Linked DNA regions of Mus musculus. The protein of the gene in region 6 interacts with the protein of the main gene of each other region in a pairwise test. Links are inferred from orthologs where the notes say so. Each region holds a gene or a part of one and is shown on either strand. Other genes may lie near its edges.

Region 1 (3,500 bases), on a different chromosome or scaffold from region 6:
TTCCACAGACTATACTCTGGAGAATACCACTTTTTTCCTTTCCCTTCTGTTCCCGGATTTACCATCCTCCATGAGCTGTCTTCTTCGTTTTGCGTACTATGAGCAAGGATCTGTACCCCATGCTTTTCCAGTTCTTCCTTCAGCCTGTCCGGGAAGCGTGAAGGACGAGAATGAAAGCAGAAAAATCAAGAAAATATGAAGAGACATACCGGCAGAACAGGGGAAACAGCTGCCATTCACCTTCCTGGGAGAAATGAGGACACAGGAGCTCCGTGCCTACCTCTGCCGTTTCTGCTGTAGCTGGTGGCACCTCTGCTGCAGCTGCTCGTGCTGCTGAGCTGCAGCCTCTAGGAACTCCTCAGCTTTCTTGTTCTCATCCTTGAACATCTGCCTGATAGTGTGGAAAGAAGTCAGTGCTAGACATTTCCTCCTCCTGCCCCACCCTGCATCTTACATTGCTGCAGCTGCCTCATGGCTTCGGAGGAAGAGTCCCTCAATGAGGCTGGAAGAACCCTCAGGCCCGCCCAGGGCACACAGCCGCTGTCTCACATCCTCCAGCTTTACTTTCATCAGTTTCTCTACAGAGAGAAAGAGTAATAAGAAGGTAAGGGCAGGTTGGTGCAGCTGAGAGCCACCCTTCTGGCCCTGACCTCACCTTCCTTGAGCAGCTGCTCCTTGCTGCTGTCCAAAACACACATCTCCTTTGTCAGATGTTCAGGCTTCTGGGGTGGGGGGGCACAAACAAGAAGATATGTCCAGATCTCCTGGCTCCCCTGAGCTTCAGAGAAGCCTGTCTACATCTCATCATTTCTCCTCTCAGTAAGTTTCACTTCCGAGGACCCTGCCCCTTGGTGTGTGCCAGCTATGGTTTATGGATCTCGTCATTCCCTCTCCTCGGACCTTTAACCCTGTAATGAGGTTCTAGGGCAAGTATTCGAAACCCTAAAATCTGCAATCCTACAATCCTGAGACACTCTGAAGACTTAGGTATTAGCGTTTCTTCCTCTCTTCTCTCCTCCTGGCCTCCTCACTGACATAGAGAACACTGAATGGACACAGCAACATGAGTGAATGGTAAGGACCAATACTGAAGACACCAAGTATCTCAAGAGTGGTCACCAGGGACTGGATTTACGATGACAGCAGGACCACCAACCAATGCTTGCACAGGGACAAAGTATAATAGGTAGCATAGTGTTGTATGACTCACATGAAATTCCAAGGTGTCCTTATGTTGACTCATCAAAGTCTCCAGATGTTCTTCAAAATCCAACCTAGGAGGCAACCACAGAGCCATGATGGCCATGAACTACCACAGAGCTAGGCCAAGGTCTGAGTCTATATAGCACCCAAGGACTTCGTGTCCACTCTTACACAAGGAATAGCTTCACCCCTTGACCATCCAGGACTATGGCTGGCCATCCCGGGCATTACTATACCTATATCACGTCCCCAGCCCAAGCCTCACACCTTGAGGTTTACCTCAGTTTTCTTAGTTTGGCCTTCTCTTTGTCGATCTGGGAGTTCAGGAAAGAAATTCTCTCTTTACACTCCTGCAACATGCTGTGCTTCCTGGGAAAGAAACCAACACTCAGCCATGTTCTTTGAATGACTCTCCTGGAGGGAGGGCTGGGGGCTTCTATTCTGTTCCTCTGTATTCAAGCCTGTGTCTAGCAGAGCAGATGGTGTGGGAGGTAACAGGAACACTTAGGGAAACCACTGCAGGCATGGCATCTTACCTCTGTGCCTCACTTTCCTTCTCCTGGCAGTGCAGCTGCATAATCCTCAGGGTCTCTGTAAGGATAACAACAGTGCCCTCTGAGTGCTTGCTAAGGCATCTAATTTGGCAAATAGAAAAAAACATATCACATCAAGTCTGTGGACACTTGATTGGATTTTGACATTTTCTGGGTCTGGTAAAAGCCATAGGAATGTCACAAGGTTGGGAGTTCTTAAGTTTCTAGCTACTAGAGAGAGTGGGCTTAGATAGGGTATCACAAAGCCTAGAAATGGGTAATATGGGAATACCTTCCTTTCTGTTCAAAATATCCTTCAGACGTACTTTCTCTTCACGTACTAGAAAAGATGATGAAGGTTCAGGCATTAGAGACCAAACACAGAAACGTCAAGGGCAGTCATACGAGAGGCAAGTATAACTGTGACCCTAACCCAGATGCAGTTTCCTTGAGGTAAGTTCCTACCCCTACGGGTATCCACATTCCTGTAAACACAATGTGCCCTAATTTTCACAAAAGATATCCATGTCCATGTACAACAACCACTGGGACCAGGAAAAACAACACCAATCAAAAGGGCTATGTGATCAGGTAATGCAAGATGACTAAGAAAGACATTTCTAATAATATACAGCTGCTGGTGTGAGGCAATAACTTGTATTATCTAGGGCAATACATGGAGGATCATCTCTGCAAAGGACTCAGGGCAGAACAGGCCTCAAAGGCATTTCCACAGCCCTCCTGTTAGAAGATGGGACTGCTAGAAGAAATGAGGTTGGAGGAGAAGTCATGGCCCGGGTGTTTGCAGGACTGCATTAGAAGTCTAAGACATCATAGAAACCTCTAGTGACTCTCAGTTAACTTACGTAAGTCCAGTTCCTTCTGCAGGTTGTCCCAGACAGTCTGGGCCTCTCCAAGCTCCTCACTGGCTTTCTTTTTTGCTTTACCAAAGAGGAGGACAGACATTTGGTAAGTACAGCCTCAAGGACAAATGAGGAGATTTCACACTCTCCCCCCAAAGAAAACTTAGAGGGGGCCCAGATTTTACAAAGCAGGAAACAAGGCTTTCTAAATCCTGGCCCTTCTTGCTAGGCTCGGGTGGCAGCAGGGCTGTGTTCACAGGCAAATGACTATGGCGGTTACAGGCAGAAGGGCCCTGCACTTATGCTCTCATGAAATAACTACAGAGACTTTAACAAGGACCCCTGTATTTCCACTTTTTATTGGGCCTGGCCAGTTAAAACTTGTAGCTGGTCCTGGATGGCAGCCAATCACTGAGCTCACCTTGCTGAACCTCATTAATACGGTTAATCAGGACCTCAATCCGGGGCTCTAGGCTTCCCACTGCAAAGCAAAAAGGAAGCTCATTATTGATAGAGTGTGTCTAACCTGGGATTCTACAGCTTTTACTTTACAGAAATCTCCTAAGCATCTCACGTGTACAGGTGCTACATTACGGTCTCAATCTAGGATTGTGGGGACAAGGAACAGACCGATAGAGATACTGAGCCAAGCTGTAGGAACTTCAGTCAAGAGAAATGAAGCAAGGGGAGAGGTCCATAGGCAAAGGTCAAAAAGTGCTTCTCAGATATGGGAAAGTGTCTTGGGGGGCTTCCATCAAGGAAGGCAGGCCCTCAGGCTCTCTGGGTAAAGCAGTGGGTGCCCTGAGGAGGAAATGAGAAGGAAACAGGATACATATGATCAAGTAGAAGGTGGCAGGATGTAAAGTGGAAGAGGTTATGGGTAAAACCTCTGGATCTAACA
Region 2 (4,005 bases), on a different chromosome or scaffold from region 6:
AAATCCTTGGTAAACTTCATTAAGAAATTAGGACTCTGCAGATGGTAAAAGTGAGGCCCACCTTTAATCCCAGCACTTGAGGCAGAGGCAGAGGCAGAGGCAGGTGGAGCTCTTTGAGTCTGAGGCCGTTCTGGTCTATACAGCAAGTTCTAGGCCAACAAGGCAGGGTTGCATAAGATTACGTCTCAAGAAAAAAACAAAAAAGTGCCTCTCCCCCAACAAGCACAGGTGCAGGCTACAAGAAGAAATTCACCTCAGTAGGTGGTTTTAGAGTAAAGGCGTCAAGTTTACAGTAAAAATCACACACACGCACATCTCTAGGACTTAAGATATCTATGCTCATGAAGGTGGCTTGAGTTCTCCACTATTTCCAAAAACAAAGCAATGAGCTATTTCAGTGGTAAGGGCAGGGCACCAAAACCACATGCCCCAAACTGCCATCATCCAGTGGTCCTCAGTGAGCAGCTTACCGGATAGACATGTGTCCGAGTCCCACGTATGTCCATGCAGGGCCTAGGGTTCGAGTGAGGCCCAACACAAACTGTTAACGTACTTAAAATGAAACCGTCATGGGACGGACAAGGCTCATCAATTGAGAGCACTTTTGCTCTTGGAGAGGACCTAGGTTTGGTTCCCAGCACCCATGTGGTGGCAAGTGCTGCCTGTAACTCCAGTTCCAGGAGAACCGATGCCTTCTTCTGGCCTCCCATGGCATGAGGAACATATGCAGGTAAAACACTCATATGTAAATAAGTCTTTTAACAAAAGTCAATTTCAGGGCTGGTGAGCTGGCTCAGAGGTTAAGAGCACTGACTGCTCTTCCAGAGGTCCTGAGTTCAAATCCCAGAAACCACACGGTGGCTCACAACCATCTGTAATGGGATCTGATGCCCTCTTCTGGTGTGTCTGAAGAGAGTGACAGCGTACATGAATGAAAGAAAGAAATAAAGAAAGAAAGAAAGAAAGGAAGGAAGGAAGGAAAAATCAATCTCATTTTTTTTTTTTTTTTTTTTTTTTTTTTGGTTTTTCGAGATTGGGTTTCTCTGTGTAGCCCTGGCTGTCCTGGAGCTCACTTTGTAGACCAGGCTGGCCTCGAACTCTGAAATCTGCCTGCCTCTGCCTCCCAAGTGCTGGGATTAGGTGGGAATTTCATAGCTGACATCGTGCTATGAGGAAAAAGATTGGCACATGCCTGGCACTGATACAGTAAGTTTGAAGTAATACAACTCGGAAATGTGAAATCTACCCAAGGAACTAGTTTGGCATGGAACATTTCTTTTCTTTTTAAAGATTTATTTATTTTACGTATATGAGTACGCTGTAGCTGTACAGATGGTTGTGAGCCTTCACGTGGTTGTTGGGAATTGAATTTAGGACCTGTGCTCGCTCAGGTCGGCCTGAAGATTTATTATTATAGATAAGTACACTGTAGCTGTCTACAGACTCACCAGAAGAGGGCGTCAGATCTCACTTCGGGTGGTATTTCAAAAACTTGGGAGTTCACCGGTGGGGAGGAGAGAGGTCTCCTGATAACCGATCAACGACACCCCCCCACCCCGTCGCACTGACGGGCGTTTTACGCTGAGGTAACCCCCCCCCCTCACCTTCAACTCTTCTGGGCAGTAGGAATCTTGTTTTCAGGGTCCAGTTCTTCTACTCCAGCCTGGGTCATGAGGTCAGCGATATTCTTCTCCAGGTCGTCAATCCGACTGCTCATGTCATCTAGTGGCACAGTTAAAGAGCCCGCACGGCAGCATCACCTCACCTCGGCCTCTCCCCCCCAGGCCCCCGCCCACTGGTTTAAACAGCTGCTTCCCCAGTTTCATCTGGCTACAGTGACAGCCTGGCGGTCGGGGTTCGGGGGGACTGGGGTGAGTTTTCTTCCCTACACCTCCAACTCTAGAAGTACTCCCAGACAACGGTTACCATGCAAACCCCTTTACTGGTGTTCTGGAGGGGCACCAACAAGGGCTTGGGGTAGGTCTCGCTGTGTCTCTGGCTCTTGGCACAGTCCTCCACGGGAACACAATATAGCCAAGATCAGGAAAGACACTTCTAAGTGGGGACGGGGAAAAGGCTCGGCCGTTAAGAGCACGCGAGGCTCCTGCAGAGGGCACGAGTGTACTGGGCAGTTCACAACCGCCTGTTACTCCAGCTCCAGGGGATCCAACGCCTCTGGTCTCAGTCACTCCCAGTACCCCCTTATACATATAATTAAAAATAATAAACCCTTTGTAAAAAAAAAGGCAATTTCTAAATGACTAACTGAAATCTGTTTGTAAACCACCCCGCTCACCCCCACAGTTAAGAAACTGCCTCCAAATCAAAAGGATATTCCTTCCGATGATCTGGTCTGACATGATCTGAAACTTGTCTTGCATCTGCTGCAAGAGCGTCTCCACCTAAGAGAAACCAGGACAAGTCAGCCGATCCCAACCTATGCCGAGACCCCCTTCCTGGGACCGGCGTTGGGGAGCCGAGGACGCAGGCATGAAGGGGGGGTGGGGTGGTGGTGGTTCCCGGCTGGAGTGTGAGGCCTTCAGCAAGGGCCTGCCAGCTCGGATCGGTGTCCCTGCGGGTCAGGTCCGGAGGGTCCGGGTCGGGGCCGACCGGAGGGCGAGCCCCGCAGGTGCGCGGGCCGAGGCCGCTGGCCACACCCCACGCCAGGGCCGAGAGCGGCCCCGGGGTGTCCAGGCCCATATGAGGCTGCCGCTTACCACCAAGGTGATGTCCTGCATGGTCTTGGGGTCCGTCTCGGCCATCTCCCCGGTGCCCAGCTTGGCGGCGATGTCTCGGAACCGTCACCTACACTTCGGTTTCTCGGCGCAGACGCCCACAAGCCGACAGTTCTCGCGACTACACGGTCACGGGACCGCGAGGCATTGTGGGTGTTGTAGTTTCTGCCACGCACCGGAAGGTCCTAGGAGGCTTCAGATTGTCCTGCCTGCGGATAAGCTACGCCCCCCAGTTCTTAGCTCCGCCTTCATCTTCCGCCCAGTTCCACCCTGAAGGCTGAACCGAGAGGAAGAGGAGGAGAAAACGCCGGAAATGGACCAAAATTGTGGGGATTAGCGTTGGCTTCTTCCATGGATGTAGTTAGGCACTCAGGCCTTGCAAGGCGAAGCCGGTGACGAGCTTGCTTCAAAGTCTGACACTGTGAGTTCAATCTCTGTGATCCACATGTTGGAAGCAGAAACTCGATTCCCACAAATTGTGTGTGCACTGCTGTGACATGCATGCATACACACATAAACATACACACAAAATAAGAAAGTGTTCTGTTACTACTAAAAAACATTAGGGGGCTGGAGAGATGGCTCAGCGGTTAAGAGCACTCACTGCTCTTCCAGAGGACCCGGGTTCTATTCCCAGCACCCACAGGGTAGCTCACAACTCCAAATCTAGGAGACCCAACAACCTCACACAGACAAAACACAGTGCAGGCAGTGGAGGAGGCTGGGATAGAATATCGTGGTCATTTGAATACAAATGGCCCCATAGGCCCATAGGGACTGGCCCTATTAGGAGGTTTGGCCTTGTTGGAGTAGGTGTGACCTTGTTGGAGGAGGTGTGTCACTAGGAGGCGGACTTTGGGGTTTCAGAAGTTCAAGCCTGGCCAGTGTCCTGCTGTGTGTGGATCCAGATGTAGAACTCTCAGCTCCTCTTCCAGCACCATGTCTGCCTGCACATGCCATGCTTCCTGTCATGATGATAGTGGACTAGTCCTCTGAACTGTAAGCCAGCCCCAGTTAAATATTTTCTTTTATGAGAGTTGTTGTGGGTATGGTGTCTCTTCACAGCAATAGATGTCCTAACTAAGACAGATCCAATTCTTTACATTTATGGACTGGAGTGGGGGTGTCTCTGAGTCTAGCAAACCAGTGAAGGTACGCGGCGTTAGGATATAAGGTCCGATTGTTCCACCCTACCTTGGGGCTGTTATAGGGAGTTGGGCAGCTTAAGGAAGACTCTAGACAGGGCAGGAGGAGTGGCTGATCCCCTCTG
Region 3 (3,960 bases), on a different chromosome or scaffold from region 6:
ATCACAATTGTGGGGTTTTTTTTAATGTTCTGAGCCTACACTGGCACTGCAAATCATAATGAAGAACAAAGACGAGAAAAATCTAACATTTTAAAGCAGTAACACTTGATACTTTGCAGAAAGTGGGGCAGGGGTGGTAGGGTGGGAGTTTACCAACCTGCCTAAAGCCAAACTCCCTGGCTTCAATCCCTTTCTGAGGGAGTAATTGCCAAGCTGGTGGGGTTAGAAGGCGGGGCATAAATTGCCTCAGAGAACAGCTGTGGTGTCGGAGAATGGTTCCAACCGGTTTTGGTAGGCAGCTCTGAGTTAGAAGCCAGCATAGTCAAAGATTACGTTCTAGGACACACTAGGCTACACAAAGAAACCCTGACTCAGGGGGCAAAGAAATATTTTTAAAGGATGGGTGCTGGTGTCAGGCTTCCAGCTTTGAATCTGCTATAACCACACAATATTGATGGAGCCTTAAACTATTTACCCTTTACCTGGTGGCCTTTGCCATTAGTCCAAGCCATGGGGAGGCAAAGACAGACAAAACTCTTGAGTTCAAAGCCAATTTAATCTACATAGGGAGTTCCAGGCCTGCCAAAGCCACATATAACGAGATGTTGTCTCTAACAAACAAATAGTAGTTTGTTTTATTTTAACTAGGCTTTTCTGTACTATCGTATATTTCACAGATCACTGAGTATTTTGTACTTAATCCGAGTAATTATGAGAATCAAGCTACTGGATACGAGGAAAAAACGTTTGAATTATTATAAACCTTCTATTGTAATAGAGGGGAAAAAAATGCCAGGCACATAACAAATTAGTTTACCTTTCTATCCCTCTTCCGAGTTCTCAGAGATCATAGAAAGTCATACATGTTTATAAAGGACTAATGAGTGTATGAAAAAAAAAGAAAAAAAAAAGACCAGAATGCCAAAGTTTAAGGCCAATCATAGCTTCAGTACCAGAAAAGAGGCTGACAAAAATCTCTCGACCAATGACATAATTTCGGACCCTCAGGGTATTTGGCTCCTATGCTTTTCGGTTGCATCTCGGGAGTTGTGCGGCGCCGCGAGGCATGAAGGGGCTCGTAGTTTTTCCCACTCCCGCCTCCAAAGCCGCCTTGACTTCTTTTTTCCCAGCAAGCTCCGCGCCCGCGTTTGCTGTTGATTGGCTGCGGCAGGAGAGGGCGGTCCTGTTGGCAGCAGTTACCTAGGTTTCCGGTGCTCGGCCGGAGAGGAGGACGCCGCCGGACGTCCGTGGTGAAGTATGTCTATGGGCTGTACGTGGGACGAGCTCTTCAGAGGGTCTGTGGCCCAGGACGCGTTGGCCGTAGAGGAACAACTAATTCGGGGGGTCGGGGGGAGGGCGGCCTGCCCCAGTGTTGCGCGTGCGTACTCTAGGTCTAGAGGGCGCGTGGGGTGTGGGTGGCTTCTGTGCGCGCGCGCGCGCGGGGGTCCCACGTGGGACCTGGTGGGGCGGGGAGCCGATCGGGACTGGAGCATCCCGCCACGTCAGTCTGCGGCTCTGAGCCAATCCCGCGCTCCGGCTGCCGAGAGGGAGCCGTGTGGTGCCGAGAAGTGGCATTCGGGAGAAAGGAGGCCTCTTCCTTCCCTCACTCACTCAGGGGCAGCTTCTCGGAAACCTTCCATGGGACCGTGAAATCCCGGGCGAAGACCGACCGGTCTGTTTGAAGCTTCGAGCGTCAGATTTGGGGATTTCTTATCTAGTTGTGAAGAAGAATTTTGAAGTCTAGAAAAAAAAAAGCAACTGGGTCCTTAAAGGATCTGCCCCATTTCTGGCCTTGCAGATCACAATGAAGAACCAAGACAAAAAGAATGGGCCTGCCAAACACTCCAACTCGAAGGGCAGCCCGGGGCAACGGGAAGCAGGACCGGAGGGAGCCCATGGACGACCCAGACAGACAGCTCCTGGGGCGGAAGCCGAAGGTTCCACAAGCCAGGCTCCTGGGAAGACCGAGGGTGTGTGCCAGCTCTGCTTTTCCAGTGGGCAGAGGGAGGAGTTTCTGGTACTGGTCTGTCTTCTGAGGCCAGTGTTTACCCAAGAAGAAGGAACTATAGAATGAACGATGCTCATTCTGTGTGATCCTTTTGTTTCCTGGGGAGGTGGTGAACCTTCCCACTCTTAGCCGTGGGGCGCAACCTTGGGAGCATGCTCTGACTGGTTTAAACGAAGACAGTCAAATGAAGCACCCCGTAAGCAAAGTCATATTCCCAGAGAACACTTGCCAGTGGTGGGTAATTGTCCTTCATGAGGTGCAGCGTCTGCCACATGCCAACTGCTCCTCACACAGGGGTGCTTTACACAGTTGGCTTTTATAACAAGTATGTTTGGGTGTTAGAAATACTTGTTTTATAACTAAACAAACTTAGGGTTTAAAAAAACTTAAATTGAGGCCAGGCCTAGTGTCCCTCACCATTGTCCACAGAACTCAGGAGGCAGAGGCAGACAGATCTCGGAGTTTGTGATCAGCCTGCATACTAAGTTCCAAGACAGCCAGGGCCCTGTAGAGAGAGCCTAACTCAACCGAATAAATAAATAAAACAACATTTAACCCACACCAGTGTGTTTATCTGGGCTTAAAGAAGATCCAAGCGAGTGGTATGACCACTGAACTTTAATCCCGTGTCTTCATCTTTCCTGCTGTAGGGGCTCGAGCTAAAGCAGCTCAGCCTGGGGCCCTCTGTGACGTCTCTGAGGAGCTGAGCCGGCAGTTGGAAGACATCCTGAGTACATACTGTGTGGACAACAATCAGGGAGGCCCGGCTGAGGAGGGAGCACAGGGTGAGCCCACTGAGCCGGAAGACACGGAGAAGTCCCGAACCTATGCAGCCAGGAATGGGGAGCCTGAACCAGGCATTCCAGTCGTCAACGGCGAGAAGGAGACCTCTAAGGGAGAGCCTGGAACAGAGGAGATCCGAGCGAGTGATGAAGTTGGAGACCGAGACCATCGGAGGCCACAGGAGAAGAAGAAAGCCAAGGGTCTAGGTGAGGGGGGAGCTATTGGTGAGGGGAGGGAGTTAACACCTGTCATCTCATGGGCTAACCTGCTCTGTCAGAACTCAAAAGAATCTGCTTTTCAAGACAGTATGTGTGTTATCTCCCCTCCCCCCCGCCCGGGTTTACTCAAAGATGGGGTCCTAGCATTGAGCTGTTAGATCACTCACTTGTGCAAAGCCTCCTGGCCTTGGGAAGTGGAGGCAGAGTGTAGCTAGCATCTCACTGAGGATATGGAGAACAGGAGGCCCGAGTGCTTGCCAGCACCACTTTTAGCTGCTGCTTGACTTTGGACATGTTTATTCTCCACTCCTGGGTCTTAGTTTCCCTGTTTCTATAGCAATAGAATTAGGCTACACCAAGGTTGAGATATCAAATATCAACATGAACCAGGTAAGCCACAGACCTCTTCAGAATCATCAAGAAAGGGCCTTCTTGATCTGAAAAATTGACTCCTACCTGGTTAGTCCCCCACTCTCATCTGACCAGCTGAATAATTGGCAACCAAAATAATAGAAACCAAGCAAAGCCATCCACTGGTGGGGTTTGCCATCTCCATGCCAATCTCGTGGGCCTCCAGGACTGACAATTCAGGAACCTGGTCTGTGCTGACTGAATACAGTGGAACCCAAGGGAGACAATTGTAAAGCTTCCTGGCTGAGGTAGAGGCAATCAGGCGTGATGGCATCCACCTTTAATCACAGCACTTGAGAAGCAGGGGCAAGTAGATCTCTTGAGTGCCGGACCAGCCAGCTGCATAATGAAACCTTATCTCAAATGAATAAAAACAGAGAGCAATGGCAGTCCTTTGACAGGGGTGGTGGGATAATATGAAAATATGAATTTAGAATCTAATGGGAACCTATGTGGTAGTGTATGCCTCTAATGGGCGACTAGGAGGAACAGAGGCAGGAAGACTGAGTTCAAAGGCAACTTGGACTACATAGCAAGACC
Region 4 (2,472 bases), about 70 Mb from region 6:
GTATATTTGCTATTGATGTGTTTGGCTGCCAAATCACAGAGAATTTCCATATTAGTTATAAATTGCAAACAGCAGCAAAGACTGGAAGTGTTCTGTACAACTTTAAAAATGTCTTGACTCTAACTCTTCCTAGTCCTAGAAGTTTCTTTCACAGACTTTCTTCTGTGAGGAAGATGCAGTCAGGTGAGCAGCCAGAAGAATCAACAAGGCTTAGTCTACTCCATTCAGACAAGCATCGGGCTCTCTGGGGAGTCCAGTGGAAGGGCCTACGGGGATGTCTGTGACTTCTGGTGGGGGCTGCTCCCTAGACTCACAGCCGGGCACCACAGCAGAATCTCCCTCACTCTCTGGAGATGGTGAAATATCATATTTTGCCTCTACTACAGATAGGGAGCCCTGGGCTGGGGACAGTGGGGCCTGACCAGAAGTGTTTGCCTCTGGTTTATGGGGCTTCGGACCCGGGGTATTTTCTGCAGGGAGACCCTGACTTTGTAGCTCTGCCTCTGCAGGGGTACAGGAGGCTGTAGGGGCAGGTGTGGCCTCACAGACGCCCTCCGCCACAGCCTGAGCACCTACAGGGGGCCGAGGACTCCCTGAATCAGCGGGAAGGCTGGGATGGTTTAAACGGGCTGTTTCGGGGTGCTGGTGGGTGACATCACTTCCACTTTGAGGACCATTCACTGCCAGCTGTCTTTCCGTTGGTTGGTCTGGGGTGAACTCTGGATGATGAAGGATGGTAAAAGCTGTGGCCAGGTTTTCCACAGCTTTTTGAAAACTGTTGGCTTCCTCTGCGTCCACCTCTTCATTTTCAGAGACGCTTGGCTCTGGCTCTTCCTCAGAGGTGCGCTGAACCTGGTCTTCCTTTTCGGACATTTTTGCTTCTCTGATTTTCTTGTAGAGTTCCTTTCTCTCCTCTTGTAAAGCACGACACAGGTTCTCCAGCCTTTGGATTTTCATCACGAAACACTCGTATTCTTTAGCTCGCAGGGCTTTCTGTGACATAAATGCACACACACACACACACACACACACACACACACACGACATGAGCAGTGAATTTCTCACGATGCTGTCCAGAAACAAAACTAGAATTTGCCTACTACGTTTGAACAAACATTTCGGGACATCTCTTTGTTTTTCTGATGTTTTGATTATTAGACTAAAAGACTTTTAATTACTATTGCCTGTTCTTTGGGAAATAAACCTATTAAGACTTCTTTCTACTCCAATAAACACCTTAACCTACACGAATCTTCTGTTCCTTAAAAACTGGAGGGTATAGGCAACATCTTCTGTGAAATAAGTAAGATGGCCTGGGCTTCACTCTCAGCGGGGTGTTGTGTATTCTAGGAAATATGTCTTCTTGCTAGAACTGCTATATGCTAATTCCAGCAGCCATCTGATGAGTGTTGATGAGTCATACATACATCTTGGGAACTGGTTGCAACTTGGAATGAATCTCTAAAGTGGTAATTATAACCACAGAAACGCACCACATACCAGTTCATGATGTTGGCTGCTTAAACCGTTCAGTTCTCCTTTTCTCTGGTAACAGTGGTGTGAGAGTGAGCAGAGAACTGCTCCTAATCATCTCACTACTGATTCCCACCCTGGCTACCCTGGATCTGTAAGACCCTCTTTACTTGTTACCATGAAGGGATCTTCACTTGTAGGTCCTGCCACTCAAATTGGACCTCATAAACCTTTGCCTTTAGAGTTGTAAAGCCTGTAGGCCCTGGCAGAACATCAGCTACCAAATACCTGTTGGAGGAGGTTTTAAAAAGATTTCTTCATATCTGTCTGTAAAATACCCTAAATGTGCTGGCATCTTCTATCAGCACAGTGAAACCAATGCATTAAGTGCACTTGCTGGGTGCCAAACAGTAGAAGTTCAAGATCAAGTAAGACCTTCATCAAAACCTTTCTAGGCCAGCAGGCATAGTGCCATTCTGGGGTCAGTTTTCTACCTAACAATTCTGTGACTAAGGTTTACAAAGATCTCTGACTCCTCCTTAGATTTCTCAGTGACTCTTGATCTTATTCCTGATCTTATATTTTAATCTGTTACGTCTCCCTTGAAATTCAGCCTATTTTCCAAACGTAATCACTTGTACTATTAGGTTCTGATGATTACTTTTGACAGGGTTGGGGAAGGAAGAGCGTCCTCACCTCTTCGATCATGTCCAACAGGGCTTTGTTACAATTCTCAAATCGGGCTTTCCACGTGGCGGTGTCCTTCTCCAGCTTCTTCATTTTCTTAGTTGTCTACAGAAATTAGAGTGTTTTAGTGATAATCCTGAGGCACTAAGGAAGCAATTAGCTCCACACGTGACACCAAGGGCAATCTCTTGTTACCAGCTGCTGAAGCAAACAAATGTTCAATGTCAACAACGAAGACTGAGGAAGAGGAACGATTTCTTCCCGAGTCCTCTGGATTGGTGACGAACGAACTTGTTTGCACCGGAGCCAAGT
Region 5 (4,140 bases), on a different chromosome or scaffold from region 6:
GTCGTTTCCTGTTATTCCTCATGTTTTACAGGTAAAACCCACAACACTGGTCCTCAAACAAGAATTAAGTATATACATCAGCTTGCTAAACTAAAACTGACCCTGAAGAGATTTCAGTATGTCCTTGGAATGGTCGGGAGTGGGGGGCTTTCAGGAAGGTCTATATTGGTGCTATATTAAGTAGCATATCCTTTTGATGGCTTAATTGCTTTCAGTGATGGAACATGGAGGAAACGAGCTCCGGGAGTCTGACAGTAACACTACAATGCTAGACTGGTGAGCGACTGACCGCCTTACCTCAAAGCGGGAAAAAAATCAACTCCTCAACAAGTTTTAGCAAGTTCCTCACATACTTTGTGTGCAGTCCCATTTCCCCAGAATCAAGGAAGCACATAAACACGTTCTGCCAAATCAAAGAAACCCAAGTGACTAGGCTTGCCAACTGAGGAAGTCAAATCCGGAGCTAATCTATTCTTTTCCTCCTAAGAGCTACTTTGAGTCCTAGATGACGTCAGACCAGATTCCACCCAGACCAATTAGGTCCAAGAGTCCAATGGCAGGTGACGCCCTAGAAAGAAATTTCTGAGAGGATGAAGTTTCCACTGATAGTTTCAGGGCTCTTTCCTCAGGACTTCGCCTGTGGATAGAGGGGTAATCCTGGGGCTGGGGAACATACACGTGTCTCTATGGGAACCTAATGCGAAGCCAAGCAGAACAAAGCGCAAACGATCACGGTAGTTCAAAGACTTGGGGTTCTAAAGGAAGGACACGAGGTACGGCGAGGTGGGAAGGCTGATTTTGGCAAGAAAGGTCAGAAATCGTGGAAGCGGCTCTTATGTTTCACCCAAAGGCTCTCCAGTGGAAATGGAGAAACATCCCATGTCTCTCGTTGCAGTGTAGGCTGCTCTCCCGCCACACCCCTCCTCTTCTGAAAAACTGAGATCCGTGGTGCCTCCCATCCCCAGAAAAGACCTGAACTTCATCCCCGCGCGCCATCCCGTGCCTTTTGCCCAGGACTCAGCAGAGCCTGTCCTTCCCCTCTGCACCCGCACCTCTGGCTCTCACCGTCCGCGGGGACGCCTCTCCGAGTCTCAGTCAAGTAGCAAGCGGACTCGGTGCCACCTCTGGCCTGCGGCTGCCTGCAATCTCGGCTGTGAGCTCACATCCTGCGCCCGCCGACTCCGGAGTTACAGCCCAACCCTACAGATCGGGAAAGAGACTACAAGACCCGGCATGCACAGCGCGCGAGCTAGCAGTGGGTCGAAAACTTGACGTTTGACTTCCTTCTACTTCCGGGTTCGGGAACAAATCTACTTCCCGTGTCGTAGTCCCCGCCCCCTGAGCAAAGGCTTCTGGGCCTAGTGGGCAGTTATCGCGTGTTGCATCTATTTCCCAGCAAGCACCGCAGGGTGGGCGGATGCTGGTGCTTCTGGACTCGGGGGTGACGTGTGGCTCCTAGATCTTGTCTCCGTGGCAGCAGCCGGTTGCAGTTGCCGGAGAGAAGCTTCTACCGACAGTCGTCAGGGCCGCAGAGCGCTGCCGAGGCGGCTCGTCAGGTAGGTCGGGGACGTGGAGGACTTGGGACGGGAGGAGGCCGACGTGACCCAGCGCCGAGGATTGGCTGGACCGGGTGGAAAGCGGCGGTTTCCCTACCTCGGAGTTTTTAGGGATCGGGTTTACACTCAGCTCAGCCTGGCTCCCTCGATGTCACCGGTGAACCGAGGTTCGGACATTGCAGGAGTATAATTTAGTAAAGACAGCCGCGCCATTTGCCCAGTTCTTCCTGTGTCTACGCCTTCTCCAAACTCCACAGCTACAACTATTTGTTGTGCCTGCGGACCTGGGAGAGCCAGGGAGCGTAGAGCCAGGCACAGCCTTCATGCTTAGGAAACTCAATCCCACGTTCCTGGAGCATATTTGTGGTGGGAGTTAGGGGTGGGCTGGGGATCTGATAGCCCGCTATGTACCATATCTATCTTACCCATCTCTTTAAACTGTCCTTTCCAGCCATACTCTCGGTCCAATCCAGATCCATGGCAATCGTGTTTGGCTCCTTTCTTCACTTTTCTCCAAAGTGCTGCATTAAGCATTACTAAATTCTGTCAATTCAGACATCATCTGATCTCTGAACTCCCGTTCGGCTTCAAATCTTTTCTTCTGTTACAGCCTTCTGTTTCCACATGAATTCATTCATTCTGCAAACATTATCAGAGTGCCACTTACCTGCAGGCAGCCTGCTTAGAGATGCTTGGCTCACAGTGAGAAATTTGGAAAGGACGCCTCTATTCTGCTCTTCCCTGTTCCCTCTGTTTGGCCAAGGCAGTGAGTGATCTTTCCAACTCTGATCAATAAGCACTGCCGAAATCCACTGCTAGCGGTTATCATTATAAAAAATAATCCAAGTTCAGCTGGGTGTGGTGGCGCATGCCTTTAATCCCAGCACTTGGGAGGCAGAGGCAGGTGGATTTCTGAGTTCGAGGCCAGCCTGGTCTACAAAAGTGAGTTCCAGGACAGCCAGGGCTACACAGAGAAACCCTGTCTCGACAAACAAAACAAAACCCAAGTTCATTTACTCATCCAGCTATAGCCGGTTGCCAGCCTTGCTCCCTCTTGCTGTTTTGATCCCAGGACCCTTTGTGTCAAAATCTTCCAGCCTTAGGACGCCCCCATATGCTTTTCCCTATGCCCACAATGTCCCTCTCCCTTCTCTTAGAAGATTTTCTGGACGTGTTTAGGTCCCAGATTGTTTTTTCTGAAGGCTTTTGTTGACCTCTCTGCCTACTTGAGTTATGTCCTCCTGTAGAATCCTGACAGAGCACTGAGCGCTGTTCCTCATACCCTGATCACAGTTTGTGTTTATTTGCTTACTGTCTGTCTAGAGACACTATGTTCACTCTGTCCTTGGAGCTGGGATTCAATAAGGGTTTTTGTTTTTGATAAATGCATGTTAACTCAGAAGGCAGTAGGAGTTCAAACAAGTGTTTGCAGTCTCATGTCATATGAACTCTTCCATAGGACCTGGTCCAGTTAGTCCCTAGGAGCTCTTAAATACTCAAACTATCCAACTAGAACAACACAGGAAGGCAATTGTTTTTTTGTTTTTTGTTTTTTTGAGACAAGGGCTTGTGTAGCACAGGATAGCCTGGAACTCAGTATGCAGCCCAGGTTGGTCCTAAACGTGTGTCAGTCTTCTAGCAACACAGTGAGTTGCTAGAATTAGAGTCACGCATGACCATAGCTAGCTTTTAACTCTCATTTTAAAATTCATCCTTTTTGTTTTGTTTTGTTTTTCATTTCAGGGCATGCATTTGAAAAGCCTTTTTGGGACCTTAAACAGGGATTTATGACTATGCTTTTATCTCGCTCGCAGCTTAGGCCAGATACACCCAAGTGAACTGAAATTGTCTTTTCTCCTTGCTTAGTGATATTTCTGTAAAAATCACTTGATGCAATATAATCCTTCAGGTTCACGTGTCTGTTTTCCTCCAGCTAAGCTGTGCTGCTCCAGGGCAGGCACCATGTTGCATTCATCTTTACGCCCAGCATCTAGCAGTGTCGGCATGTAGTAGGCACTCAAGAAATGTATGTTGAATGAACGATGTCTGTGACAAGCAACTGGACTTTCCTCTTTCCTGACCCTTGCTCCTATGACATACCTCCTGATTGCCACTGTCACCCCTTCAAAGCAGACCTCTAGGGCTTCCTGGAAGGGAAACAGGTGAGGCTGAGAGCTGGAGGCAGAGGGATGGGTGTATGAGGAGGGCTGGGGTGGTGTCTGGGATGAAATTCAGGTCGCTGCTGGTTTCTCTGCAGCTATGGCCAAGGACATCTTGGGCGAGGCAGGGCTGCATTTTGATGAACTGAACAAGCTCCGAGTGTTGGACCCAGAGGTCACCCAGCAGACTGTGGAGCTCAAGGAGGAGTGCAAGGACTTTGTGGACAGTGAGTACCATCTGGAGACACAGTGTTGTTCTGCTTTGAGCAGTTTCCTTACCTGACCTTGGCCATTGTTCTTGGGTCTACCAGAATGAAGTTGCGTGCTCTCTGGATTGAGCCTGGTCTCTGGGTTCCCATGTGTACCCAACCTTCTCTGCTTGCCCTCTTACACTGCCATGGAGTCCCACATTTAGTGCCAAGCAA
Region 6 (3,500 bases):
GAATGAAATATATATGAGTATAAATATTCATCTGCAAATAGAAGTCTGAAACATCATTACCCATGAAAAGAGAAAATATCCAAGTGCATTTCTAAAAGTCTTTATGCATGGCTCACCCAAGCTCAGCAGAGCAAATGAGAGCTCTGTCCAGTCTTCAACAGTCTTCAACTTCCAGTAGTTATGTTGTGCCCACCAACCAACAAACACGCCTTCACAGGGTTTAATTACATACTGGCATGCCTTTACTATGTGAATGGTCCATTAAGCATCATAATCCCTTCTCTCAACTGTCCTTCATTTTATTCTCCAATTGATCTCAATCTGTACAACTAGACAGTCTAGTTTCTGTACAACAAAGATCTGAGATTAAAGTTGTATGAAATCAGTATGCAGATCTTAGGATTTTGACTCATAGTTTAGAGTTACAAAAGGGTGGTTTTGTTATTGGGTTGTGTTGAGACAGGGGTTTCATATAGATTGGCCTCTGATTCTCTATTTAGCTAGGGATGACCTTGATGTGCCAGAGCTGTACATGTACGCATATATATCAAAAGTGCATAGCTGATTTGACTATCATAACCATGGAAATCTTCATAAAGCAATATTTAGTTCCTTTCAAAATATTATATATATGTGTGTATACACACACATACATACACACACAACATACACACACACATACACACAAACATACACACTGGCTTTTTGAGACTGGATTTCTTTTCATAGCATGGCTGACTTAGAACTCACTCTGTAGCCCAGGCTGGCCTTGAACTCATAGAGATCTGCCTGCCTCTGCTTCCTGAGTGGTAGCATTAATGATGTACACTACCACCTGGCTTCAAAATATTTTATATAAAAGTCCACTAGTTAATGTCAGTGAAGGAAAAAAGAGGGGTCAATCTAAATATTAAAACGCCTTAAGAGTCCTTTTATTAAGCTGATCAATACAATAACTATCACAATTGTATAAATCCAGGAAGGCTACAAGAACTTCCAGATAGTCTAAACAAACTAATTTACAACTCAAAAATTATCAGACACACAAAAGATGATTCTGAGTCTGCAAAGCAAATTAAGAAATTTAGGAGTGATTAATAGTACTAGGTATTTTGAGATCTGCAGGAGATTGGCTTCAGACCCCACAGATACTGAAATCTGCTAGAGTCTCCTATATAAAGTGGCCTTGGTCTGAATTTAACTTTCTCTAGATTACTTATGGTACCTATTACAATGTAAATAGTTGCACTGTTTAAGGAATACTGACAAGAATGTTCATTAGAAGCCAGGTGTGGTGGCGCACGCCTTTAATCCCAGCACTCGGGACGCAGAGGCAGGCGGATTTCTGAGTTCGAGGCCAGCCTGGTCTACAAAGTGAGTTCCAGGACAGCCCAGGCTATATAGAGAAACCCTGTCTCGAAAAACAAAAACAAACAAAGAAGAATGTTCATTAGAGATACAAATTATTTTTTCTGAATACTCTCCATGTTTGCCTAGGTGAATCCGAGATGTGGAATCAGGCATAGAAGAGCAACTACGAGGGGCCGCAGGGCTCTTCTGAGGATGAGCACAGGTGACCTAACAGACTGGGTAAGGGCACTTCTATGTGCAAACGTAAAATGTACCTACACAGGTGACTACTTTGCTGATATTATTTTAGTGGCTCACCAGTTTGGTGATTGTTTCAAATTTCAGTACTTATTGAGATGTATATGTAATGGAGATTTTAAGATAAATAGTAAAAAACTTAAATGTATAGAAACATGAAAGAATATTATAGCGTAAAAGCTGACTATACAGTGACTCTTATCATGATGTAGAATGTGGATTCAAACAAGTCAATGTCAAAACTCTATCTTTTTCAGAAAATTGAAATATATAGCCTTTGGGTCTTGTTAATTTTGGATTGCTATTTAAAGCTTAAGGTTTTACGATTTGAGTACCAAGAATTTCGCACATATTTAGCATTGGCTGTCCTGTTCAACCCAGATGTCCTGCATCTCTTGCAACTCGGGTGCTTACCTGCGTTTGCTCCGAAGTGGTTTCAGAATGTGATCCGTTTGTGACAGCAGTGACATTTAAAGGAGACACTTCAACTGTGACGTCCTCTAGGCCTGGGATAGATGACAGCTGAGAAACGTGAATTAGTGTGGGCATACAAAGATCAGTCTTGGAGCACAGATAAAACTTTTGAACTGTGGATTCTTCCTTAGCGCCTTTAAACCTATACAACCGTGTAGATAGGTTCAGAACTCTATCTTCAATCTCTATGTCACAAACTAAAAGTGAAAAACGCTGTTCTTTGAAAGAGGTTTTTTTTTTTTTTTTTCAAAAGTTTAATTTAGTTGATAACCTTTCTTTCCTTACAAATTATCATTCAGCCGACAGATCACAGAGGATTGAACATGGGCTTTGGAATTTGACTGCCAAAGTGTACTAAAGTTCTAATATGCTTGTGGGCTCCCTGGCCCACCTGCCTTATGTCCTACTTTTGTTATCTGTAAGGGGATGAAAACATTTTCCTTATAAAACTATTTTAAATATTTTTATTAAAAATGCCTTGCTAATGAAAAGTACTCTGTGGCACACCGTTTTTCTTGCATGTGGGTGTGTGTGTGCGCGCGAGCGCGCGTGTGCGCGCACGTGAATGTGCTATGTGTGTGTGTGTGTGTGTGTGTGTGTGTGTGTGTGTGTGTGTGTGTGTGTACTGGGTCTCTCAGAGACCTTGCAGCTCCTCTCTCAGCTGGAGTCGCTGGATCCTCCTCTCTCCCATCTGAACTCGAGCCCTCAAACTTGCGTAGCTGGTATTTCACCAGCTGAGTCTTCTCCCTAGCCCTCTACCAATTTTGAGTTTTAATTATATGAGATACGCCTTTACATTTTAACATATGACACAGCTTGTTTTACTCTCTTTAAACATTTATCATTGAATATTACCTAAATATGCTCTCTTCATACACAACAAATGGACATATTGTCAACATTTCAGACTCGAATGGTAAATATTTCAAAACAAAAAAGATAAGCATTTGGGTTATTAGACTTATAAAAACTCGTCCTGCTTTTGTCTGGTGCTATGACACGTCTTCGCCAGCTGTTTGGCTGACTGTGGACATTGTACTACAGCCAGGGAAATGCTAAGGTTAACTTGCCCACACAGAAATGTAACTGTGTCTGCGGATGGCAGCACTTTAAAATTCCTAACTGTTAATAAGATCCAGTCATAAGAGAGGGTATAAGAGCTCCCCGATGATAGGATCTCAGGCAGGAAAAGTCATTGCTGACTGAGGACAGTGCTTAGCAAAGTGGCAGTGGTCCCAAAGTCACCAGTGGGTATAGTTGTGACTGACATAATGTCCCCAGCACATTCAAGGCCAGCTTCAAGATTTCCATGCCAAAGAAATGTTCTAAACAACAGATACACTTGCTGAAGCCCACAGAGGGCAGAGAAAGTAGACATAGCTACCTTCATTTCCTTATGTTAATGTCAACATAGAATT
Region 7 (4,243 bases), on a different chromosome or scaffold from region 6:
CTCTCTTAAGAACGGGAATTCCTGGGCGTGAAGGCCTACACTTGCTTTTAATCCCAGTGGCTCTTTGAGTGTGATGCCAGAGCAAGTTCCAGGATAGCCGGGGCAACACAGATGAGCTTTGTTCCAAAGAAACAACCAAAAGATAAAGAAAAAAGAAGAGGAAGGAAGAAGGAAGAAAAAGGAGGAGGAAAAAGAGGGGGAGGAAGAGGAAGAAGAGGAAGATGAAGAAGAGGAAGAGGGGGAGAGGAGGAGGAAGAAGAGGAGGAGGAGGAGAGAGGAGGAGGAGGAAGCAGAGGAGGAAGAGGAAAAGGAAGAAGAGGAGGAGGAGGAAAAGGAGGAGGAGAGTTCTCTTCAGGAGAGGCAGATAGCAGCAGCAGGATTTCAGGCCTCAAAAGATGGTCAGTCTCCTCAAAACCCCGGGCTGGTCCCAGTCCTCCTGCCCCAGGTCCCATAGCTTTCCTGACAGTATTTACTTCACTGTGCTAAAAGCCACAGGAAAGCTACCTCATTCAAGGGTCCATAGGACCTTGGAAAACTGCACTGGCCATAAAGATTCAAAGAGGAACAAAGGCTGAGAAGTCCAACCCCTGGTGTTCTGGCTAGAGGAGGAATCTCAGAGGCTGACTGACTGAAGAGAGAAGGAAATGACCTGGGTCCCTTTCACAATACCTGGGTCCTCCATAGTCCCCAGTGTCCTCCCACAGAACCCAAAGAAAAGGCTCACCAGCTTCCTTAAGGCCCAAGTGTCCCAGTACCCATCCACCATCAGTCCTCCACACACTGGGGCACTTAGGACAGTGGTTCTCAACCTGTGAGTCGACATCCCACAGGGCTTACATACCAGATATCCTGCGTATCAGAGATTTACACTAGGATTTGTGACAGCAGCAAAACTACAGTTCTGCAGTAGCAACGAAATAATTTCACAGTTGGGGGTCACCACAACATGAGGAACTGTATTAAAGGGTTGCAGCGTTAGGAAGGTTAGGGACTACCGGTTTAGGGGTTCTCAGCACTGGCTGTGCAGGGCTCAGCTAGGATTACCACTGGAGTGAGCAGGAAGGAAGTTTTCCAATACTGTAGGGCCCAGCGGCCCACTTGGGTCACTCCCTCTCAACCTTAAATTGTACAGGTTGATCTCTGGGATCTTGAAAGTGACTGGGGAGAAGTGGAGGAGCGGGGGTTGTGGCAATTACCATCGATAAATTACATTAAGATCTGCAAAATGGGGGGTGGGGAACTGGGTCTCTGATCCTGTCCCTTGCTAATCACAGCTAAGGGCAGCTGGGGTTAAGGTATCACCCTCTACTTCCAAAGACCAGCATAAAGCAAGGCTGTGCCCTTGGGCTAGGGCGGTGCAACCGGGATCAAGTAAGAGGATGGAGTGACAGACAGCTAGCTGACCCACTGGCAGAAAAGGCAGAATGTGAAATTTGACTGTACCAGCCAAATGCTCCCCAACTACTCCCACTGGGTTTAAGTCCTGCATGATTGCCTTAAAAAACCCTGTGGCTCTGGGGCTGGTGAAATGGCTCAGCAGGTAAGAGCACCAGACTACTCTTCCGAAGGTCCTGAGTTCAAATCCCACCAACCACATGGTGGCTCACAACCATCCCTAACGAGATCTGACTCCCTCTTCTGGTGTGTCTGAAGACAGCTACAGTGTACTTACATTAAATAAATAAATCATTAAAAAAAAAAAAAATCCTGTGGCTCCTGTTGGGCAAGATTCAGGCCCAAGATAGGTAAAGGACATCTAGTGGTGTCTTCCACAATGCTCATGTCTCCTAGACACTGATACCCATCCCACACAGGGACAAAACAATTGCAATGACTTCCCTATACCAAGTCCCCAAAAAACCCCGAACTCCCCACCCCCTTCTTCTAGTGACACCCACACAGCCATCTTCCTTCAGCTTTTGGCTCTCAGTCCCTCCACTGTCCTGCCATCCCCAGTTGCTGTGTGTGACTGTTAACAGGTGGCAGCAGGAAGGAAGTGGCCACAGCAGCTAGAGCAGAGGTCCCTGTTTATCCCTGGCTGTTTACAGCCTGCTCAGGTCCTCCAGAACTCAGCACCATGGCAACCAGGGTGATGTCAGACCCATCGTCTCCATGGAAATCGGCAATGGTATGGTATTTAGGTCAACAAGACAAACCTAAAACTGAAGCAGAAGTCTTCCTAGAACCCCTGCACTCGGGGTCCCAACCCTTGATACCAAAAAGCATCCCCGCTTTCCCAGGCCGGCACATCGGCACATTAATACCTTATTAGGAAGCCTGTCTAAGCAATCCAGAGCCCACTTAGCTGCCACCCTTCCCAGCTGTGATTTTAGGGCAGTCTTTGACCTCTAAGAAGAAAACCCACCCACTACTCTCTCTCCCCTTTTCACTCAGGCAGGATTTCACAAAAACTTCTGCTGTTTCTAAAAAAGAGAGTGTTCCCAGTCTGCACAAAACTGGGAAGTCTGGTTTGATATGCCCTTGATTGTCTCTAACTTCCTTCTCTGTCTGACCTTTAAAGGGAAGGACCTGGGACCACAAAAACTTGCCTGAGTTCCTGCTTCGGAATCATCTGTCTCCCTCCTTCCCCGCCCTTCGGTCCTGTGTTGGGCAGTATGTGGACGCCGGGGCTGCCCACTCCTTTTATACAGCTTTGCCCTCTTTTGTTATCTGGGGATAAAGTGGGAGTCTGTAACGCCCCTTCCCGGCAAGGACTCCTTTACCTGACCCAGCTCCTCGCTTCAGTCTTCAGCTTAACTTGTTGCAACCTCCCAGCCCAGGAAGACAAGAGGGGAGTCACGTGGCTAGTGTTTGACCAGTGAAAAGTCGACTTCCCCGCGGGGGGGGGGGGTGAGGGGGAACTTTTGACCAATGAAAAGCTGGACTTGAACGCCCAGGCAGGGGAGAGAAGGTCTACGCAGTACCTCTCTCCCTTGGTTTATCTTTTTTGGTGGGCAATTTGGTCTCCAGCAAAGTAAATTTGGGAGACCTCCCCTCTTTTCTCAGTGTCTAGTGTCTAGTAGGAAGACCTAAAACTGAAAGGTGCTGTCTGATGAGGGGGCAAGGACCAGGTGCCATGTTGGTCCCAGGATAGACAGAGACAGCTGTAGGATGGGGGATGGGGTCCAGTGCAAGTTGTGGGTTTAGAAATAGCCCTCTCACCACTCTTATCCGCCCCAATGCAGACTAAGGATGCCACTACTTTGGATATGGAAGACGGCCAAGCATGGTGGTGCCAGCTCCTGGGAGACAGAGGCAGGTGTGCAGGTGGATCTCTTGAGTTTGATATCAGCCAAATCTATATATAGTGAGTTCCAGGCCAGTGAGGGCTACATAGTGAGATCCTGCTACACATGCACACGCACACCCTGTGGGATGTCTTAGCTGGGTAAAACCTCCACGTGTGCACATGTTTGCACCTCAAGAGATCATACAGACACAAGATAATAAATTTTTAAAAAATTAATGGAGGGAGGTGCTATAATCCCACCACTGGAAAGACTGAAGAAGTGGATGTTGAAGTCCAGCCTGGGCTACTAAACAAATCCCAAACCAAAACCAAACTAAAACAAAAGCAAAAAAAAAAAAAAAAAAAAAAACTCAAACAAAAACAATGGAAGAACCGAGGCAGAAAAGCATCCACAAATTAAAGTCAGGGCTGGATGTGACCCAGCAGTGGAGCGCTGTCTGTCATCTGTAAAATGGAAGGGGAAGCATTTAAGAAATTTCAAATTTTTATGTGGATGGGTGTTTTGCCAGCATGGCTGTAGCATTCTAGAGTTACAGATGGTTGTGAGCTGCCACGTGGGTGCTGGGACTTGAACCTGAGTCCTCTGGAAAAAAACAGGAGTTCTTAACTGGTGAGCCATCCAGCCTGAAAACTCATATTTAAAACCAACCAACCAAACAAACAAACAAAAACCCCACCTTACTTGTGTGTGAGGATACATACCAGCCGTGGGACACAGGGCAGAGGGCAAGCTGCCATGTCAGTTCTCTCCTTCCACCCATGGGTTTCAGAGATTGAACTCAGATCCTCAGGTCAGCCCAAAGTATCTTCACCTGTCACCTCCTTGGGCACCCCAAATAAATGTCTGAAATAAAAACTCTGGACGCAAGGGAACTGGAAGGTTTAAATCCAGAGCTCAGGCCCTGATGCCAGAGGCCTTGGCTCCAACCCCATCTGGCTTCCGACTAGCCCAAGAATTGCTCCAAAAGCGGAGGTTCCCACATTGAGGATCTA

The links.
Region 1: the proteins of Washc3 (region 6) and Syce1 interact in binary tests that used the Homo sapiens proteins (3 or more experiments, as listed by UniProt). The two-hybrid records come from large-scale screens. The link is inferred for Mus musculus from reciprocal best matches to the Homo sapiens genes WASHC3 and SYCE1.
Region 2: the proteins of Washc3 (region 6) and Hsbp1 interact in binary tests that used the Homo sapiens proteins (3 or more experiments, as listed by UniProt). The two-hybrid records come from large-scale screens. The link is inferred for Mus musculus from reciprocal best matches to the Homo sapiens genes WASHC3 and HSBP1.
Region 3: the proteins of Washc3 (region 6) and Txlna interact in binary tests that used the Homo sapiens proteins (3 or more experiments, as listed by UniProt). The two-hybrid records come from large-scale screens. The link is inferred for Mus musculus from reciprocal best matches to the Homo sapiens genes WASHC3 and TXLNA.
Region 4: the proteins of Washc3 (region 6) and Txlnb interact in binary tests that used the Homo sapiens proteins (3 or more experiments, as listed by UniProt). The two-hybrid records come from large-scale screens. The link is inferred for Mus musculus from reciprocal best matches to the Homo sapiens genes WASHC3 and TXLNB.
Region 5: the proteins of Washc3 (region 6) and Ift20 interact in binary tests that used the Homo sapiens proteins (3 or more experiments, as listed by UniProt). The two-hybrid records come from large-scale screens. The link is inferred for Mus musculus from reciprocal best matches to the Homo sapiens genes WASHC3 and IFT20.
Region 7: the proteins of Washc3 (region 6) and Pbxip1 interact in binary tests that used the Homo sapiens proteins (3 or more experiments, as listed by UniProt). The two-hybrid records come from large-scale screens. The link is inferred for Mus musculus from reciprocal best matches to the Homo sapiens genes WASHC3 and PBXIP1.

The regions. Positions count from the first base shown.
Region 1 is NC_000073.6:140,777,855-140,781,354, forward strand, and holds part of Syce1 (synaptonemal complex central element protein 1), read right to left. Parts: intron 3,081-3,500; coding exon 3,021-3,080; intron 2,678-3,020; coding exon 2,603-2,677; intron 2,077-2,602; coding exon 2,029-2,076; intron 1,795-2,028; coding exon 1,740-1,794; intron 1,573-1,739; coding exon 1,483-1,572; intron 1,275-1,482; coding exon 1,211-1,274; intron 723-1,210; coding exon 656-722; intron 579-655; coding exon 455-578; intron 392-454; coding exon 281-391; intron 145-280; coding exon 63-144; intron 1-62. UniProt on the Homo sapiens protein: Major component of the transverse central element of synaptonemal complexes (SCS), formed between homologous chromosomes during meiotic prophase. Requires SYCP1 in order to be incorporated into the central element.
Region 2 is NC_000074.6:119,343,333-119,347,337, reverse strand, and holds the start of Hsbp1 (heat shock factor-binding protein 1), read right to left. Parts: upstream 2,801-4,005; 5' UTR 2,763-2,800; coding exon 2,718-2,762; intron 2,403-2,717; coding exon 2,336-2,402; intron 1,726-2,335; coding exon 1,607-1,725; 3' UTR 1,605-1,606; intron 1-1,604. UniProt on the Homo sapiens protein: Negative regulator of the heat shock response. Negatively affects HSF1 DNA-binding activity. May have a role in the suppression of the activation of the stress response during the aging process.
Region 3 is NC_000070.6:129,638,266-129,642,225, reverse strand, and holds the start of Txlna (alpha-taxilin), read left to right. Parts: upstream 1-1,160; 5' UTR 1,161-1,255; exon of another isoform or gene 1,256-1,295; intron 1,296-1,420; exon of another isoform or gene 1,421-1,798; 5' UTR 1,799-1,804; coding exon 1,805-1,970; intron 1,971-2,658; coding exon 2,659-2,997; intron 2,998-3,960. UniProt on the Homo sapiens protein: May be involved in intracellular vesicle traffic and potentially in calcium-dependent exocytosis in neuroendocrine cells.
Region 4 is NC_000076.6:17,841,219-17,843,690, reverse strand, and holds part of Txlnb (beta-taxilin), read right to left. Parts: intron 2,266-2,472; coding exon 2,170-2,265; intron 994-2,169; coding exon 211-993; 3' UTR 1-210. UniProt on the Homo sapiens protein: Promotes motor nerve regeneration. May be involved in intracellular vesicle traffic.
Region 5 is NC_000077.6:78,535,021-78,539,160, forward strand, and holds the start of Ift20 (intraflagellar transport protein 20 homolog), read left to right. Parts: upstream 1-1,340; 5' UTR 1,341-1,556; intron 1,557-3,489; 5' UTR 3,490-3,718; intron 3,719-3,813; 5' UTR 3,814-3,815; coding exon 3,816-3,942; intron 3,943-4,140. UniProt on the Homo sapiens protein: Part of intraflagellar transport (IFT) particles involved in ciliary process assembly. May play a role in the trafficking of ciliary membrane proteins from the Golgi complex to the cilium.
Region 6 is NC_000076.6:88,214,597-88,218,096, reverse strand, and holds part of Washc3 (WASH complex subunit 3), read right to left. Parts: intron 2,131-3,500; coding exon 2,023-2,130; intron 1-2,022. UniProt on the Homo sapiens protein: Acts as a component of the WASH core complex that functions as a nucleation-promoting factor (NPF) at the surface of endosomes, where it recruits and activates the Arp2/3 complex to induce actin polymerization, playing a key role in the fission of tubules that serve as transport intermediates during endosome sorting.
Region 7 is NC_000069.6:89,435,261-89,439,503, reverse strand, and holds the start of Pbxip1 (pre-B-cell leukemia transcription factor-interacting protein 1), read right to left. Parts: upstream 2,801-4,243; 5' UTR 2,724-2,800; exon of another isoform or gene 2,550-2,723; intron 1-2,549. UniProt on the Homo sapiens protein: Regulator of pre-B-cell leukemia transcription factors (BPXs) function. Inhibits the binding of PBX1-HOX complex to DNA and blocks the transcriptional activity of E2A-PBX1.